Linked DNA regions of Caenorhabditis elegans. The protein of the gene in region 2 interacts with the protein of the main gene of each other region in a pairwise test. Each region holds a gene or a part of one and is shown on either strand. Other genes may lie near its edges.

The links.
Region 1: the proteins of mfap-1 (region 2) and krr-1 interact in a two-hybrid assay, tested with the Caenorhabditis elegans proteins (one study listed by BioGRID).
Region 3: the proteins of mfap-1 (region 2) and mig-10 interact in a two-hybrid assay, tested with the Caenorhabditis elegans proteins (one study listed by BioGRID).
Region 4: the proteins of mfap-1 (region 2) and rps-6 interact in a two-hybrid assay, tested with the Caenorhabditis elegans proteins (one study listed by BioGRID).

Annotation. Positions count from the first base shown.
Region 1 is NC_003283.11:7,229,632-7,233,273, forward strand, and holds krr-1 (KRR1 small subunit processome component), read left to right. Parts: upstream 1-1,558; coding exon 1,559-1,714; intron 1,715-1,913; coding exon 1,914-2,380; intron 2,381-2,430; coding exon 2,431-2,742; intron 2,743-2,800; coding exon 2,801-2,978; 3' UTR 2,979-3,105; downstream 3,106-3,642. Other genes in the region: gei-6 (GEX Interacting protein), read right to left, coding at 1-298, 345-728, 775-889, 934-1,092, 1,140-1,214; C05C8.5 (Exonuclease domain-containing protein), read right to left, coding at 3,106-3,385, 3,433-3,642.
Region 2 is NC_003279.8:8,637,979-8,641,907, forward strand, and holds mfap-1 (Microfibrillar-associated protein 1), read right to left. Parts: upstream 2,259-3,929; 5' UTR 2,258-2,258; coding exon 2,100-2,257; intron 2,046-2,099; coding exon 1,256-2,045; intron 1,126-1,255; coding exon 853-1,125; intron 800-852; coding exon 620-799; 3' UTR 536-619; downstream 1-535. Other genes in the region: mog-7 (GCF C-terminal domain-containing protein), read left to right, coding at 2,549-2,650, 2,702-3,439, 3,493-3,631, 3,676-3,830, 3,883-3,929. UniProt on the Caenorhabditis elegans protein: Involved in pre-mRNA splicing.
Region 3 is NC_003281.10:8,277,307-8,282,151, forward strand, and holds the start of mig-10 (Abnormal cell migration protein 10), read left to right. Parts: upstream 1-1,801; coding exon 1,802-1,875; intron 1,876-2,338; exon of another isoform or gene 2,339-2,430; intron 2,431-3,132; exon of another isoform or gene 3,133-3,269; intron 3,270-4,802; coding exon 4,803-4,845. UniProt on the Caenorhabditis elegans protein: Required cell non-autonomously for proper development of the excretory canals and for the long-range anterior-posterior migrations of embryonic neurons CAN, ALM and HSN.
Region 4 is NC_003279.8:13,950,349-13,953,714, forward strand, and holds rps-6 (Small ribosomal subunit protein eS6), read left to right. Parts: upstream 1-1,812; 5' UTR 1,813-1,829; coding exon 1,830-1,967; intron 1,968-2,139; coding exon 2,140-2,500; intron 2,501-2,555; coding exon 2,556-2,797; 3' UTR 2,798-2,846; downstream 2,847-3,366. Other genes in the region: usp-3 (Ubiquitin carboxyl-terminal hydrolase), read right to left, coding at 756-1,070, 1,150-1,280.

The DNA.
Region 1 (3,642 bases), on a different chromosome or scaffold from region 2:
ATATCATTTAACCGAGCAGCAACCGGCTCTCCAAGGGCATCTCTGACAGTTGTATTGAAGCATTCCTTGAGATATGTTGATTTCAATAAGAGATCCGTATCGGTTTGGCAGCAAGTTTCCGCAGTTTTGGACACATGTGACGTTATAGGAGAACTTTTGAAAAATTCAGAAGTATGTGTTGGCTTTGTTGATACACTCGAAATCGTCGCAGCTCTTGGTGAGATTTTTATGGGTCGACCTCTCTTTTTGTCGATTGGTGTGACAGTTGGCGTATTTCTTAATTTAGTTTCTCTCGGACCTGAAAATAAAATATTTGGCAACAATATTCGAAAACTCGTACTTACGAGCATTTTCTTGGTCCTTTTTACTGATTTTCTCGGAACTCGTGGACTGAACTTGAGAGACTTTGGCTTTGCTCTTCTTCCGAGTTCCCCAATTGTTTTTCTTTGATTTTCCACCAAACGCATTTTTGGGTTTCTTTTTTGGGATGGTGGTTTTTTGTTCAGGTGTTTCCTCATCACCATCATCCTCATCGATGCCTTCATCATCTTCTTTAGCAATTTCTTCGTCCTTCTCATCCGAATTCCCATTAGTCGACGTGTCAGAATTGGAAACTCCCGAACCTTTTTCAGGTACTTGACATACACTATTTGAGCGTGAAGCGGATCTGGCTCTTTTCTGAGAACGAAGGAATTCAAGTCTTTCACTATTGGACAATATTCTTCCATCTGAAATTGTAATTTTAAATTTTCTATAAAAGTATCGTGTCTCTACCTTCATTCACAAACGAAAATACTCCTCTGACTTTCTTGGAGGACATTCCAAAAAAAGTTTTGCAATTACTGCAATAGCTTTTGAAGATATCCTCTGTTTTGCCGCCACTCGCTGGCTGAAATTTTTCCAATTTGTTTTAGCTTATCCTGTACAACCAACCTGGCGCTGCTTGAAAAACGATAGCGTAGCCAATACTGAACACGTATCGCATTTTACAGGATCAGTGGGCTTTAGTACTGACAACGAAGAAGTAGTCGAATCATTCGAGCTTTCATCAATTGGCGAATCATTATTCTCCGATGATGTTCCCTCGATTGGCTGAACAAGATTATAATGAAATTGAACGCAACAAAATAAAAAATTACGTCAATCTGATCAGTCGGATGCGCAGAAGGCAAGTATACGCTATGGTCCTCTGCTTCAGTTGTTGCGCCGTTCATTACCTGCCACTTATTTGTTTAAAAAAACAGGTAAAATAGACGCAAATTGAAACAAGATTTAACTTTCAGAATTATATAAAACACAAAAACAGTTAAAACATAAGAAAAGCCAGCAGAAGCAGTGTAAATTCCGCACAGAAAAATTAATCGACAAACCAGTGGGCGGAGCGTGAAGCAGGAGTCGCAACCCCCGCGCACTTTTTATGCAATGCTGCCGCACGAATTCCTCTCTCAGTTTTTGTTCCCTTTTTCTTCATTTTTAATCAATTTCTTCTGATTTTTTTTGTATATAACTTTATTTTATTTTGTATAAAACATTAAATATTAATTAAAAATAATTTAAGATGAGCAACGTTGACAAAAAAGCTAAACCTCGTGGAGAATACGAGCCCGAATGGGCTGGTGAACCGGAGGAAGAGAAGAAGACGCGGAAAGAGACTGCAAAAATGTTCGGACCACAGAAAGATGCAGAGTGGTGGGATATTAACACTTTCAGCAAGGTATGTTTTTGATATTGTATTCTAAATAAATATATTTCGATTTTTGAAGTTACCTGCTAAATTTACTTAAAACTAATTTTAAAATCTCCAAAACACTAAATATTTTCTGAAAAATTAAATGTTAAGCAATGAAAAAAGTTGGTTCCATGTAATTTTTCTCTTGTAGTATGAACCTGAAGAAAATGAATACATTTTTCAGGAAGACAATCCGAATGGTCTACTCCAAGAGTCATCATTTTCTTCATTATTCCCCAAATATCGCGAAAAGTATATTAAAGAAAGTTGGCCACTCATCGAAAAAGCTCTAGGAGAGCATTTCCTGAAAGCAGATTTGGATCTCCTCGAGGGAACAATGTGTGTCCGAACTACTCGTAAAACTTGGGATCCTTATATAATCATGAAGGCTCGCGAGGTCATCAAGCTTCTATCCCGTAGTGTGCCTTATGAACAAGCGATTCGTGTTCTCGAAGATGAAATCTATTGCGAGATTATCAAAATCTCTTCAATGGTTCGCAATAAAGAACGATTTGTGAAGCGTAGAGCTCGGCTAATTGGAAACGATGGTGCTACCTTGAAAGCTCTCGAATTGCTGACACAGTGCTATGTTTGTGTTCAAGGAGGAACTGTTTGTGCTGTTGGACCGCTTGCTGGACTGAAACAAATCAAGTGAGTTGAAAATATATTCTGACTCTCTTTGAAATCATAAAAAATTTCAGTCAAATCGTCACTGATTGTATGAAAAATATTCACCCAATCTACAATATTAAAACTATGATGATCAAAAGGGAATTATCTAAAAATGATGAATTGAAAGATGCAAACTGGGATGCTTATCTTCCAAACTACCGAAAGAAGGTTCAATCTGCAACTACAACAAAGGAAGCAAAGAAGAAGAAGGCTTACAAGATGAAGCCCAAGAAGGAGTTCACTCCGTTCCCACCGGCTCCAGTTATGAGCAAGATTGACAAGCAGATTGAAAGCGGAGAATATTTTATTCGCGAGAACGAAAGAAAGATGAACAAAAAGAGGTAAGTATTCTTAATTCAAAAATCGTAACGGAATTTAATAAATTTATGAAATTTTCAGAGCGAAATTGGAAGCATCGGCGGTGAAGACTGTGGAAAAACAGAAGCAAAAGTTGAAAGTGTATCAAGCAAAAGAGGAAGCTCCGCGAGAAAAACAGAACAAGAAGCGACCGAACGACGCGCCGATCGATTTGGAAAAGCTGAAAAAGAAGGCAAAGCTCAGTAAAGCCGCCAAGTAAATTTTATGATTTCACTGTTTCGTTTCTTTGTTATCAATGTTGTTGTTTTGTTGGAAATTGAAGTTTAAATTAAACCAAATTTTATTTGTTATTCATTTTATGAGAAACTTAATATTAAAAAAAAAGATTATTTGACTCTTACATAGAGCACGTTTTTAGTGGAATTAGACAAGATCATCATAATCAGTGAGTTTTTAGCCGTGGCGGCAACCAGTTTTTCAAGAATCCGATTCAGTGCCTCCGCGTTGTCAGGAACTTCTCCTTGCTCTGAATCAGTTTCTTCCAATGGTTCTATTTTTTCTTTGTCAATCTCCACGAGGATTACACTGTCATTGAGCATTTCAGAAGCTACACTGTTGACGAATCCATTATAGGAGGGAAAAGAGGAATGAAGTTTTGAGCGGACCCTGAAATAAATTAGGTACTTAAACTTTATTATTTTTAAATATCTTACTTTTTTGATATGGGAGGACAGTCGAGAATAGCAGTATCGAAAGCACACATCACAGATTTCATTTTATCCTTTTTCAAATAATTCCCGATTGGAGATGCTTTCTTTTCATGATCCACATCAAGTGTATCCTGCCAATGAAAATCTCCTTGGGCACTTATCCCGATCTTCACACAATGCACACATTTCGAAGGAGTCGATACAAATCTGCAT
Region 2 (3,929 bases):
ATCGGCACAAATCGTCTCTTCCGCGCGTCCCGCCCCATTGGGTCCCGGATGTCTGTCACTCTCTAACTATCTACACTCTCTGTACCGGTAATAGGACACTTTGCAAACATGCATACAAACACGCCAATGACCCTTTTCTAATTAAAAACGCAAAACCACTTTTCAAGAGTCGACCGATCGGAAAAGGTGGCGATCGACAACACACTCCTCACAACATGATGACGAAAACCTTGAAAAGGAATAGAAAAAAACAAGGACGAATGGTGAGCGGCTCGTTTAGGTTGAATGCATTTGAAAAATATGAAAACGAGAGTCGATATGGGAATTCTCAATAAAACATTTGAAAGTCCGAATAGGAGAGGTTCACAAACCAAATGAGGGGAGAAACGAACCGTCTGTTGGTTTTTTTTGTTTCGAACACACAGTTGTGTTTGTCCTTTGCATTAGCTGGTATGACGAGAACTTTGAACTTTGGCGTTGAATAATTGCTACTGCAACACGTATTGTACTGGTGTATTTTAATCGCACAATTACTCTGAAACATTTTTTATTCTTAGAAAACAAATAAATAGAAATCGAAGTACAAAAAATTGGGATTTTCAGGAATGTGCAAGCTTTTTCAGTTCTTTCGCTTTTTTGTTGCAGGTCTCTCAAAAACTGGTCTGGATCCTCCGGCTCTTTTCGTGGAGAATTGAGAATTCAACTGATTCGTTGATGCCCAAACACCTTGATGATCTGTTGTATCTTCTTCTGTCAAGTGCGTATACTTGGTTCGAGATGCTTTTCCAAAGTTTTTGACCTGAAATAAATAATTTAGTTCAATTATCACTATAATAAGTTACGAGTATTTACCTGCATAACTTTCGGCAGAATAGTTTTATCAAATTGATCATCGTTGGTAGCTTCGGCAAAGTTTCTCTTGAGTACTTCATCTTCTTCATCCAAGAAGAAAGCTCCACGATGGAAATATTTTTGAAGGAACTTGTATTTTCCTTTGTCCTGTTTGTTAGTGATAACCTTTGGATTTAAACGAAGATATTTGAGTCGTTCTTCCTCGGACATTGCGTGAATCTTGTCAAGTTCTGCCTTCTCGCGTGCGGCTTCTTCACGTTCGTCACGGTTTCTCTGCAAAAAAAAATTGGATATCGGATATTATAGTGAGAATTTTTTTGAGAAATTTCTATGTCAATTTATTAAAAAACTCAAAAAAAAAACTTCGAAGATCTACATTCAAAATTTTGCAGCAAAAATTTACCTTCAATCGTTTCATTTCTCTGAGCTTCCACGCCTCATATGCCATATTTTCAGTTTCATCGTCGGTTAGAACAGATGACAAATCAACACGATCTTCTGTTTTTCTTTTCTCAGCAGCTTCTTCCTCTTGAAGAACCTTTTCAACTAATTTTGCACTTTCTCTCTTCCGTTCTTCAGCTCTTTTTTCGTCTTCGATCTTTTTCAGAATTTCTTTTTCTTTCTCCTTCTCGGCTTCTTGCAAAGTGATACGATCCTTCTTTCTTGTGAAAATAGGCTTCAATCTTGGAACTGGATCGTCATCTTCATCTGAATCTTCCTCTTCACTACTTTCTTCTTCTTCCTCCTCTTCAACATCATCTTCTTCAAGTTCTTCTTTAATTTCTCGTTTTATTTCTTCCTCTCTTTTAATAGCTCTATCTCTGAGCATTTGACGTCTTCTTTCAAAATCTTCTTCATCTGATTCAGCACTGTCTTCTTGTTCTTCATCTTTTTCTCTGTTATTTTCATGTAATTCCAATCTTCTCATTCTGGCTCTTTCTCTTCTCTCTTCTTGTTTCTCTTCGTCTTCTTCAGATTCCTGTTCATTTTCAGATGATTCGTCCTCTACTTTTCCAAGAACTTCTGGCTTCTCCACCTGTCGTCGTCTACCATAATCTTCGTGTCTTCTGTGGCGTCTTCTATCTTCTTCATCACTACTTTCACGACGTCTACGTCTTCTTCGATCATCATCTCGATCTGTCTCTCGGTCTGATTCACTGCTGTCACTGTCGTAGTTACGAGCATATTCTGGTCTGAAAATCAATGTTTTAAAGACTAATTCAACCATTAAACGAAAAAAAACTTACGCCTTTCCAGCCACATATCTTGAAACTTTCACTTTCTGCATAACAGTTTGTCCTTTCTCATTTTTGATTGGAATGGCTCCAAGAGTCGGAAGACGCGAATGTCCGAAACTTCGATTATCGCTTTCGCGTTGTTCAAATCCAGGTACATAATCTCCCATTCTGAAAGTTATTTTTAAAATTAACCCTTTTTAATTTCGGCAAAAAATAGTCAGAAACAATAAAGAGTAAATATGTAAAATTTTTAATTGAATTTTTCGAAAAAAATAATAAGCATTAAATTGCTCGTAAGTTATAATGCATAAAGAGTACCTCACGTGGTGTATGCAGACCCAACAGCACATCTTACGACAGTCTCGTTTACGAAAATATTTTCAAATATCAATTTTGGCCAAATTTTCTTGCTAAACGCTCATTTTTTTCTTTTTTTTTTACTCAAAACGTTTTTCAGAATGTTCCGTAAACCAAAGGCAAAAGGTGCTATTCGCCAACGGAAATCTGACGGATGGGATGAACCTGATGCTGAAAACCAACAAGTAGTCTCGGCTATCGAAGTGAGTTTTAATGAATTTCAACATTCTTTTTAATTTAATTTTTATTTAAAGGTCAAACAACCTGCTGTGCCTCGTCCAGCCATGAGTTTCGATGCTGATGAAGGAGCTGATTCGACGTTCAAACTTAAGAAAGACAAGAAAAAAGTTGAAGAATTGAAACGTCAACACAAACTAGAGGAGGAAGCTGAAAAATTATATAAGGAAGAGAAAATTCGTAAGGAAGCGCTTGATAAAATTGTGAAAAAGGAGAAACTCTCAAAAGAAGACAAAAAGACGAAAAATGAGCGGCATAAATACCTTGACAAATATCGTGACAAATCTGCTAAGCACATTTCGAATTCGGAGAGCTACGAATACGAAGAAAATTTGGATATTGATGCAGAAGCAATTTCATCAGTTTCCAATAAATTCAATTCTGCTTTTGAAGGTATTCCCGACTCTCGTGCCGTTTTCGAAGCAAAAAAACGCCGAGAACGAGCCAGAAGAGAGGGAAATCAAGACGGATATATTCCTTTGGATGACACACAAAAACTTAAATCTAAAAGTGAACGAAATCGATTGATTCGAGAAGATGAGAATGATGATTCGGATGAAGAGTGTACAAATAAATTCTATTCGGCTCGTGAGCTACTTCGAACAGAAGAAGATCGTCGTAGAGAAGAACAAGAAGGATTTTTAGAACGAGAAAATGGAGATATTGATGAAGCTGAACGAATAAAAGGTGATGATGATAGTGAAAATGAGGAATGGGAAAAACAACAAATTCGGAAAGCTGTTAGTCGGAGAGAGGTGAGCTTTTTGTGGTAATAGAGATCGTGAATCTGAAAATTTAAAAATTATAGATAGGCCAACTGCGAACAGAAAAACGAAATACTTCTAAATTATTTGGGCATACAGTTCCTGTTGAAGATGACACAGCAATGGATATGGATATTGATCTTGATATGGATGTTCAAGTAATTGGAAAACCGGAATTTACTGGTATATTATTTTGTTTGAAGACAAATAATTTTAATTAATTTCAGGACCATCAAATACCGGAGGAGTTGTAAAAATTGAAGATATTCTTGCTAAATTAAAATTGCGGATTCAAGAACGAGATGAAGCATTGAATTTCAGAAAAGAAGAAAAACGAAAATTGGAGCAAAATATTGAAGAAAACAAATCAATGATTGCAAAGGTAACAAGTATTTCAATAATTATATATATATATCATTTTTTAATAATTTCAGATTGAAATGGAGCTTCCTAACCAAAGTACCAAATACACAATGTATCA
Region 3 (4,845 bases), on a different chromosome or scaffold from region 2:
AATTTTCAAAACTTGCTTTTGTCCTTTGTCTTAAACGATCATGACTAAATAGTTGAAAAGCAGAACATTTTTATTCAACTCTATCTGTAGAGTAGTCTTACTATGTGTTCATTCCAATTGTGAAAAACCATCAACTCATCTACATAATGGAGGGTGAGTTGAATAAACATTTTTGAAGTACAAATAGCTTTTCGGTTGGAAGTTTTACAAAAATTCTTGCATAAAATACTCATTTATCTTGGCTAAACTTGGCGACGCTAACTGTAATTATTTTCGGGAAATTTGAACTATAGTTTTCTATGGTTTCAGCAGAAACTTCACTTTTTTTTCAAAAAAAAAAAAACTTGAAATTTCCAACTTCAGAATGTGCTCTATACCTTACTTACCTATAACTACCTTACTGCTACCAAGTTTTTCTGAAAACTTTTTTAAAAGTTCTAGTTTTGATTGTCTTGTAATCTTCTTCATTATAGTTTCCTTACCGTATCGTGCCGAGCGACTCAATTATGAATAATCCTCTTATTTTTTATGTCAACTCTTCCAGATTACGCGCGTTCCTTCCATTATTTGCGCACTCTGAACTCTCCTTCTGTTCCATTTTCTCTTCGTTTTTCTATTCAACCAAAATTTGCATATTCTATACTCAATACCATATTGATGGTCCGGTTGTCCCACGAGACTTTATCATAAAAAGGTCATTATATGCTTCTTCTGCTTCTTTTCTCGCGCATTAGTACGTTTTTGCCGCTTTCTTTCCGCGCGGAAGAGATATATGTGTCCCTCTTTGCTGTCCCCGCCTTCTTTTTTATTCTTTCTTGTTGTTGTGCGGGGGAGGGGGGTATCCCTTGACTTGTATCATCGCTTTTGCACTTTGTTAGCAACGATCCCGACAGAGGGAAGGTCAATCACTTTTTTATGCAGATGTTGTTGTTTTTTCGAGGAGACGGAAGAAAATTTGGTGTAGATTATTTAGTGGTCAATTGGGTTTTCCTTCTGTCTTAAAAACTTTAGACCACACACTCAAATTTGGCCTTGCATCACTTTGCTCTACTTTAACAACTCATAAATATCTCGGTCTTCTTATATTTTATTGAGACATTTTAAACTGTAAAAGTAGGTGTCAAATAATTTGCTATATTTGTATAGTTGAACAGTTTTTCGTTGAGCTTAAACCACTGAAATATAAGCCGTCAATGTAGAGTAGTGTGGTTCAAACATAGGAAAATACGGTATTTAGAGAGCGGAAATCTCAATTTTGTTTTTGTTATTGTTTTATTTGGATTAGCTTGACAAGTCGTGTTTTGAATTTTTTCTAGATTGCAAGGGTTCATAATTTTTTAACTTGAGAATAAAAAGATTGTTCTACATACAATACATATTTTTAAGACTAGAAAAAGTGGATTTATTGTGACAATAAACTAGAGAAATCTATGAAAAAAATTCAATAAAAGTCTGTTTCCTGCTGATTGAAAACTAGATATTCAGAATTTAGTATACAAATATTATTTGCGCAAGTTTGGGCAAATACTTTGGATATTTCTAAAAGTCGAAAAACGAGCAATTTTTGATGCTAGATTTTTTGATTTGACGAATTTTTTCAGTTTTTTTTCTTTAAAAAAGGTTTTTGACCCCTTAAAGTTTTCCTTTCCCTTCCAATTTTTTCCTTCTTTCTTATACGACTTCTCAAGTTTCAACTCTAAAACAAAGCTACATGTACATTTCCGGTAAACTTTGTGTCTCAGAAGATCCATTTTCTTTTTGTTACATTTATTCAAGATTGAATTCCAAAATTTCAGCCAATATGGACAGTTGCGAAGAGGAATGCGATCTGGAAGTTGACAGTGACGAAGAAGATCAACTTTTTGGTGAAAAGTGGTGAGTTCTTATTGTGGTAACCAAAGAAATGTCAGTGGTCCGTAAACACTTGACTCCCAAATGGTTTCTCGTAATTACCTTATGCACACTTTTCAAGTGTTTGCCGTTTGATCTTAGCCAATTTGAAACGTTTAGATGTTAAATGGAAAATGGGTAAAGTTTTTTATTTTATAGAAAAAAGGTTTGGAAAAAAATCGAGTCACTGAATAGTTTGAAGAACGGAAAAATAAAACTTTCCAAAAATCATAAAACATTTAGTGTTTCGAAAATTATAGTGTTTTTTTTGTTGGTATGTTTTGACAAAAGCTAAACCATCTTTATTGTAGTTTTGTAAAATGTTCACAAAGATGCGTTTTTTTTTCAAATTTGGCAGGCTATCTTTACATTCACATTTGGATAATTCAAATTTTTCTTATCGCTAACAAATTTTCCTATTTTTCCAATTATTCGTTTTTATAAAGCTTTGGTAGTATGTTGTGTCTATCTTTAGTGGTCATCAGTTGACCGGACCTTCACCCTCATCGAGCAAAAGATTGCTATCTCAACTTGCGTTTTTGTCTGTGACTCACAATTTCCTATAATCTCTAAGCTGGCATGTTCGTACGTCCTTTACGCCTATCTCGTGCATTCAGATAACTTGATTATATGTTCTATTTGTTGGTTTATTGGCGATGCTTCTGAATTGATTACTTTTTCTTGTCGTGTTTCGTAACACTAGTATTAGCAGTAGCTTCAGCCTAATTTCCAGTTAGGCCTTTTTTCCAATGACCTCATTTCCCGTATTCTATACACTTGATTAGTTTTCTTTGGTTACGGTCATTTATCATTCGCAGATGATTTAGTGACAATCCGGCAAAAGAAATAGAACGGAAGGCCATCCAGATGTGATTTTCTATGATCTTTTCTTGTTGGCTGTACGGTTTTCCTTGAAACCTACTGGATTTTCGTTCAGAATTTTTTGTTGGTTTTCCAAAAATATGACTTATAGCTTAGATCGGAATGTAACAAAACTTTTGAATGTGTGTTGAAGTGTTCAGAACTTTTTATTTCATGTAATTTCTCCAAAGAAACCGCAGCCTTTTTAAAAAATTATCTAAATTATTTGGTAGGATACTAGATTACTCAGCCTTACTCAGCCCTAGGAAAAATAATGTCTCCACAACGCAACTCTACTTCCCAAACGACAGACAAAACTCTTTTTTGTGCAATTTTTTCAAGATGTTCTAAAGTTATGAAGCAAAGTTAAGTTACGAATCAATATTATTCAGAAATGTTCCATTTGTGCTCTTTTTCATTTGTTGCAAAGCTCTGAACATACCAGAGCATTGATGAATAAATCATTCGCACTCTTCCTCGTCTCTTTCTGTTCATTTCAATCTGTGCGCGAGCATGTTTCATGGAACATGTGTATGAATTCAAAAGAGACACAGAGAAAAGGAACGACATTCTGAAACAATGGGTTGTCCGTTCTCTTGTCCATTCTTGTTTCTGTGTTGCACTCTATTTCTCTTTTCTTTCACTTTTCTGACTTTTATTGCTGCTCTTGGCCATGAAAGTGAAATTCTCTGAATTTTTAAAGATAGTTGCAAGTGTGGTCTAATTAAGTTTGAAAGTCGGGGAGGTCTAGGAAAAGGTAACCAAGATACTAAGTAAGTTGGAAGAAAAACGGAGAAAATTGGTGAATTTTTTTCAAGAATGACAAGAAAGAAAGAGCTACATAACTTCAAGTCCGCGAAACGATTATTTTTCAATAACCATTAGTAAAATTTCGCAATGGCGTCTAAAAGTTATGAAAGTTTGCCAAAATTGATATCATTTCTCCTGAATCTCTAAATAGATTTTTTAAAAATAATTTTGTACTGTGAAAAATAGAAAAAATAGAAAAAACAACAAAAATATACAAGTCATAGATTAAACATTAACCAGAAAATCATCTATCAAAAAGTTGAAAAAACTTTATATAGCTCACATGGATTTTCAATAACGTTTTCAAGCCCTCTCTACAAAAAACTATCAAAAAATTTCTAATTAACACCATCCAAACCCCAATTTGTTTATGAACTAACTAAAATCCTCGAAAATCCGGCAAATCCTCGTGGCTAGCCAGGTGTTCATCGGTCCGTGTTGTTGCCATGTGTGTTCCATTTCTGATGTTCATTCATCGTTTTTACCGGAGCGTGTCCTTTCCGTCAGTTTCGAATTGCTTCAAACCTTTCAGTTTTGAATCACCAGAAGAGAACAGCCTTGTCATGGTAGAGTATGTTCACTTTCTTGACCCCTTTGACTCTCTCTTTGTCCATCAAAATGCTGTCGTTCACTCTTTGTTTGGGAGCAATTCATCAAAAATGTTGGCAGATTGTTCCCTGTTCCTCTTTCTTTTCTTATGAAGTGCCATCTACTTTTCAATTCTAGAAACTTGAAATATTCTTTCAATTTTAAATGTGAATTCAAAATAGAGAAGTTGATTCAGAAAAGCCCTTTTTTCAATTTTTAAAAAACTTACATTCAATGTTTTGGTAATTTACGAAATGTTCCAAAAATATGGGCATTCTAAGTAATTTCGAGCATTGGTTCGTCCTCAGAATGTTGAAATAGAGCAATATATGCAAATAAAAAAAAAGGCAATTAAAGTATAAAAACTCATAGAAACAAAAATCTGCCACACTTGAAATTATGATAGGTGCAAACTAAGTTTTCACAACACAATTTGAATTAAAAATTCAGACAAGTTTTTTGAAAAGATTTACTATGATATTTGAGTTTTTCCCATTTGGAGAGGTTTCTAACAAAATTACTTTCTAAGAGAAACACAACAAATTTCTAAATTCCATTGATGTGTTCCATTTTTCAAATTGATCCACTTAAAGAATGCATTCTCGTTTATGTAAACATGAAAGCATTCCCAATAAATTCCATTCATTTTACAGCATTTCCCTGCTCTCAAGTCTTCTACCACTTTCCTCGTCCACA
Region 4 (3,366 bases), 5.3 Mb from region 2:
GTGGGCTAAATGAATTTTTTGATGTTTTTTGTGCTGAAAAATCGGAAGTTTTGGGCTTTTTCATTGTGAAAACTGATTTTCTAAAATAAATTTAAAGTGTTAACGTTGAAAAATTCGGAATTTTTGGGCTGTTTAGGTGCAAAAACGGATTTTGAAGTTTTTTGTGCTGAAAGATCGGATTTTTTTGGCTTTTTAGGAGGAAAAATGGATTTTTGATGTTTTTTCCCCTGAAAAATCACAATTTAGGGGCTTTTTAGTGGGAAAAATGAATTTTATCGCAGAAATTGATGAGTTTCTGCCGAAAAATCGGAATTTTTCGGATTCTTAGGGCGAAATACGATTTTTTGATGTTTTTTCACCTGAAAATCGGAATTTTAGTGATTCTCGTGAGGAAAATAGGGTTCTGTTCAAGTTTTTGCGGAAAAAATGATTTCCCAATGGAAAATTAAAGTTTCTTCGATGAAAATTAGGATTTTCATTTTTTTTTTTAAGAAAAATAAATTTTTATGAGAAAACGAACGTTTTTGACTGAAAAATCAAAATTTTCAGAAATTCCAGAGAGAAAAATGGAATTTCTGAGGAAAATTGGCGTTTTTTTCACTGAAAATCGCAATTTATCGGACTTTTCATGGGAAATACGATTTTTACGAGAACTGTAACGTTTTTCAGTGGAAAATTCGATTTCTAGCAGGGTTTATCGATAAAATATCGGTTTTTAACCAATTTTTAGTCCATTTTCCTCGAAAAATACGCACTGAAAAGGCTGTGCCGGTATAGTCGGCCCGTCGCCTCCCTCCATAACGTCTTCCCGGTCGAAAAGGAGCTTCAGCGATTTTAGAACTCCATATAAAGATGGCTCAAAGTCCAGTGACACTTCATCATCACAGGAATAGCAGTAAAGCTCGAAAGAAATGCAATCAATGACGACTGGGTGGCTGGTTTCTTCAAAATGATGCAAAGCGTGGCCCGAGTCGTTTCTTCCGCACAGAATTCGTCCGCAAGTGAGGCACATCAGCGATTTATTGCAATTATCGCATTCGTCGCAGAAGGTTTTAATTATTTCCTGGTTTCTGGAAGAAAAACGAGTTTTTAAAGCTATTTTTAGCTTTTTTTAGCCATTTTCTAGCCAAATTTCTCAAAAAAACTCACTTCACCACCTTCCCACGATTCGAATTTCCCTCCAAGAACAAATTATTGTCCTCCATGTCCTGTTTCTTGCGGAACATCCCCTTGGGCACACGCTCCACACAATCTTCCGCCTTTATATGGGTGCAAAGCATCTGAAAAAATTCGAAAATCAGTCAATTTGAGTGTGAGAGCAAAGTTTTGGCACTTAAAACGCGGATAAAAAATCGATAATCAAGAAAAACAGCAAATTTTCGGCGGAAATCGAAGAAAAACCGAAAATCGAGTCGGAAAATCGGAAAAGTTTGGAAAAAAATAAAATCCATCGGACGAGATAGTGTGGGAAAGGTGGGGTGCAGCAGACGACGAGGCGGATGGGGGATGGGTCTCGCCACGAAGGGCGTGCGCCTTTAAACTGGAATTGTCGTTGGCCTAAAAAGTTTTCGCTCCTTTTTTCATTTTTCCCTCGAATTTTTGGGTGAATTTCTCATTTTTAGGCGAACTTTTCGGTTTTTTTTTCGAATTTTCAAAATTTTAAATGTTTTCCTGATAGTTTTCCTCCACATTTCGCAGGATATTTGCTTGGAAAATCAAATTTATTAGTTTTAGGCCCATGTTTTCGTTTTTCGCTTCAGTTTCTCCTTTTCTCACCCCGTTAACTCATTTCCAATGTTTTTCTTCTTGCAGGTAATAATATTTGAGCGATGAGACTTAACTTCGCCTACCCAGCCACCGGGCTCCAAAAGTCGTTCGAGGTCGATGAGGAGAAGAAGCTTCGCCTCTTCTTCGAGAAGCGCATGTCCCAGGAGGTCGCCATCGATGCTCTCGGTGACGAGTGGAAGGTTAGCGAGTCACCCAAAAACACAGAAACGAAGTGATGTTTCTGTGTCAAATCCTCATTGTTTCACGTGCTTTTTCTTCGCTGAAATGGCTGTGACTAGACATACATTGAGAGTCCCAGTTTTTGTTTTTGAACCGATTCTCGGCTCTTTCAAACGAGTTGCTTTTTTCCAGGGATATGTCGTCAGAATCGGAGGAGGAAACGACAAGCAGGGATTCCCAATGAAGCAAGGAATTCTCACCAACGGACGTGTTCGTCTTCTCTTGAAGAAGGGACAATCCTGCTACCGTGAGCGCAAGAACGGAGAGCGCAAGAGAAAGTCCGTCCGTGGATGCATCGTCGACGCCAACATGTCCGCTCTTTCCCTCGTCATCGTGAAGAAGGGAGATGGAGAGATCGAAGGACTCACCGACTCCGTTCTCCCACGCAAGCTCGGACCAAAGAGAGCCTCCAAGATCCGCAAGCTCTTCAACTTGACCAAGCACGACGATGTCACCAAATACGTCATCACCCACGACAAGACCTTCCCAGATGGTGAGTTTCTTCAATATTCTCTTTAAATTTAGTTTTTAACTGTCTAAATTTCCAGGAGTCACCAAGACCATCGCACCAAAGATCCAGCGTCTCATCACCCCAGCTCGTATCGCCAGAAAGAAGTACCTTCTCCGCCAGAAGCGCAACCAGAAGATCAAGATGCGCGATGACGCCGCTGCCTACCACAAGCTCCTCGCCAAGTACTCCAAGGAAGAGCACGACGCCAAGATCGCCCGCAGACGCTCTTCGGCTTCCCATCACTCCGAGTCCGAGGTCAAGAAGACCAGCAAGAAGTAAATACTGCTGCTCGTTATTGTTTCCTAATGAAATTGTTGTTAAACTTAAATCTTTTTTTTTTGTTGTTCACTCCATTCGTCTCACCAATTATATTTGCACCCATTTGTCGTTGTTAATTTTTTTGAATGCTTACTCCGAGTCCTGGCACGCCACTCAGGGTACTTGGTCGATCCGTTCTTCGCCTGCGGGGCGGATAGCAGGCTTCGCAGCTTTCAAAGCTTTTCGGTTCTTTGCTTGGCTGATAGTTGTATGACTCAACCGAAGGCGTCTCTCGTGTGACCTTTTTATAAAGAGTCGTTCCATCTAAACGGGAGTCGTCCATTTTTGTGTTAATTCTGCTAAGATAAAGCGCGCTCCTGAAATTATCTTCCAAAGTGCTGTGATTCTTTTTCAAGGATACGGTAGAAGTCTTGCTATGAGATATCTTCCGCCACAAATATAGGAATTCTCATGTTTTAATTGTTTCCCAGCAAGACATTGGCCAGTTTTCAACTGAAAATTCATTTTTCGATTAATTCCGGGTGTTGAATTCAAAAATCTGATAGAACTACTGTAAATTTAATTGAAAA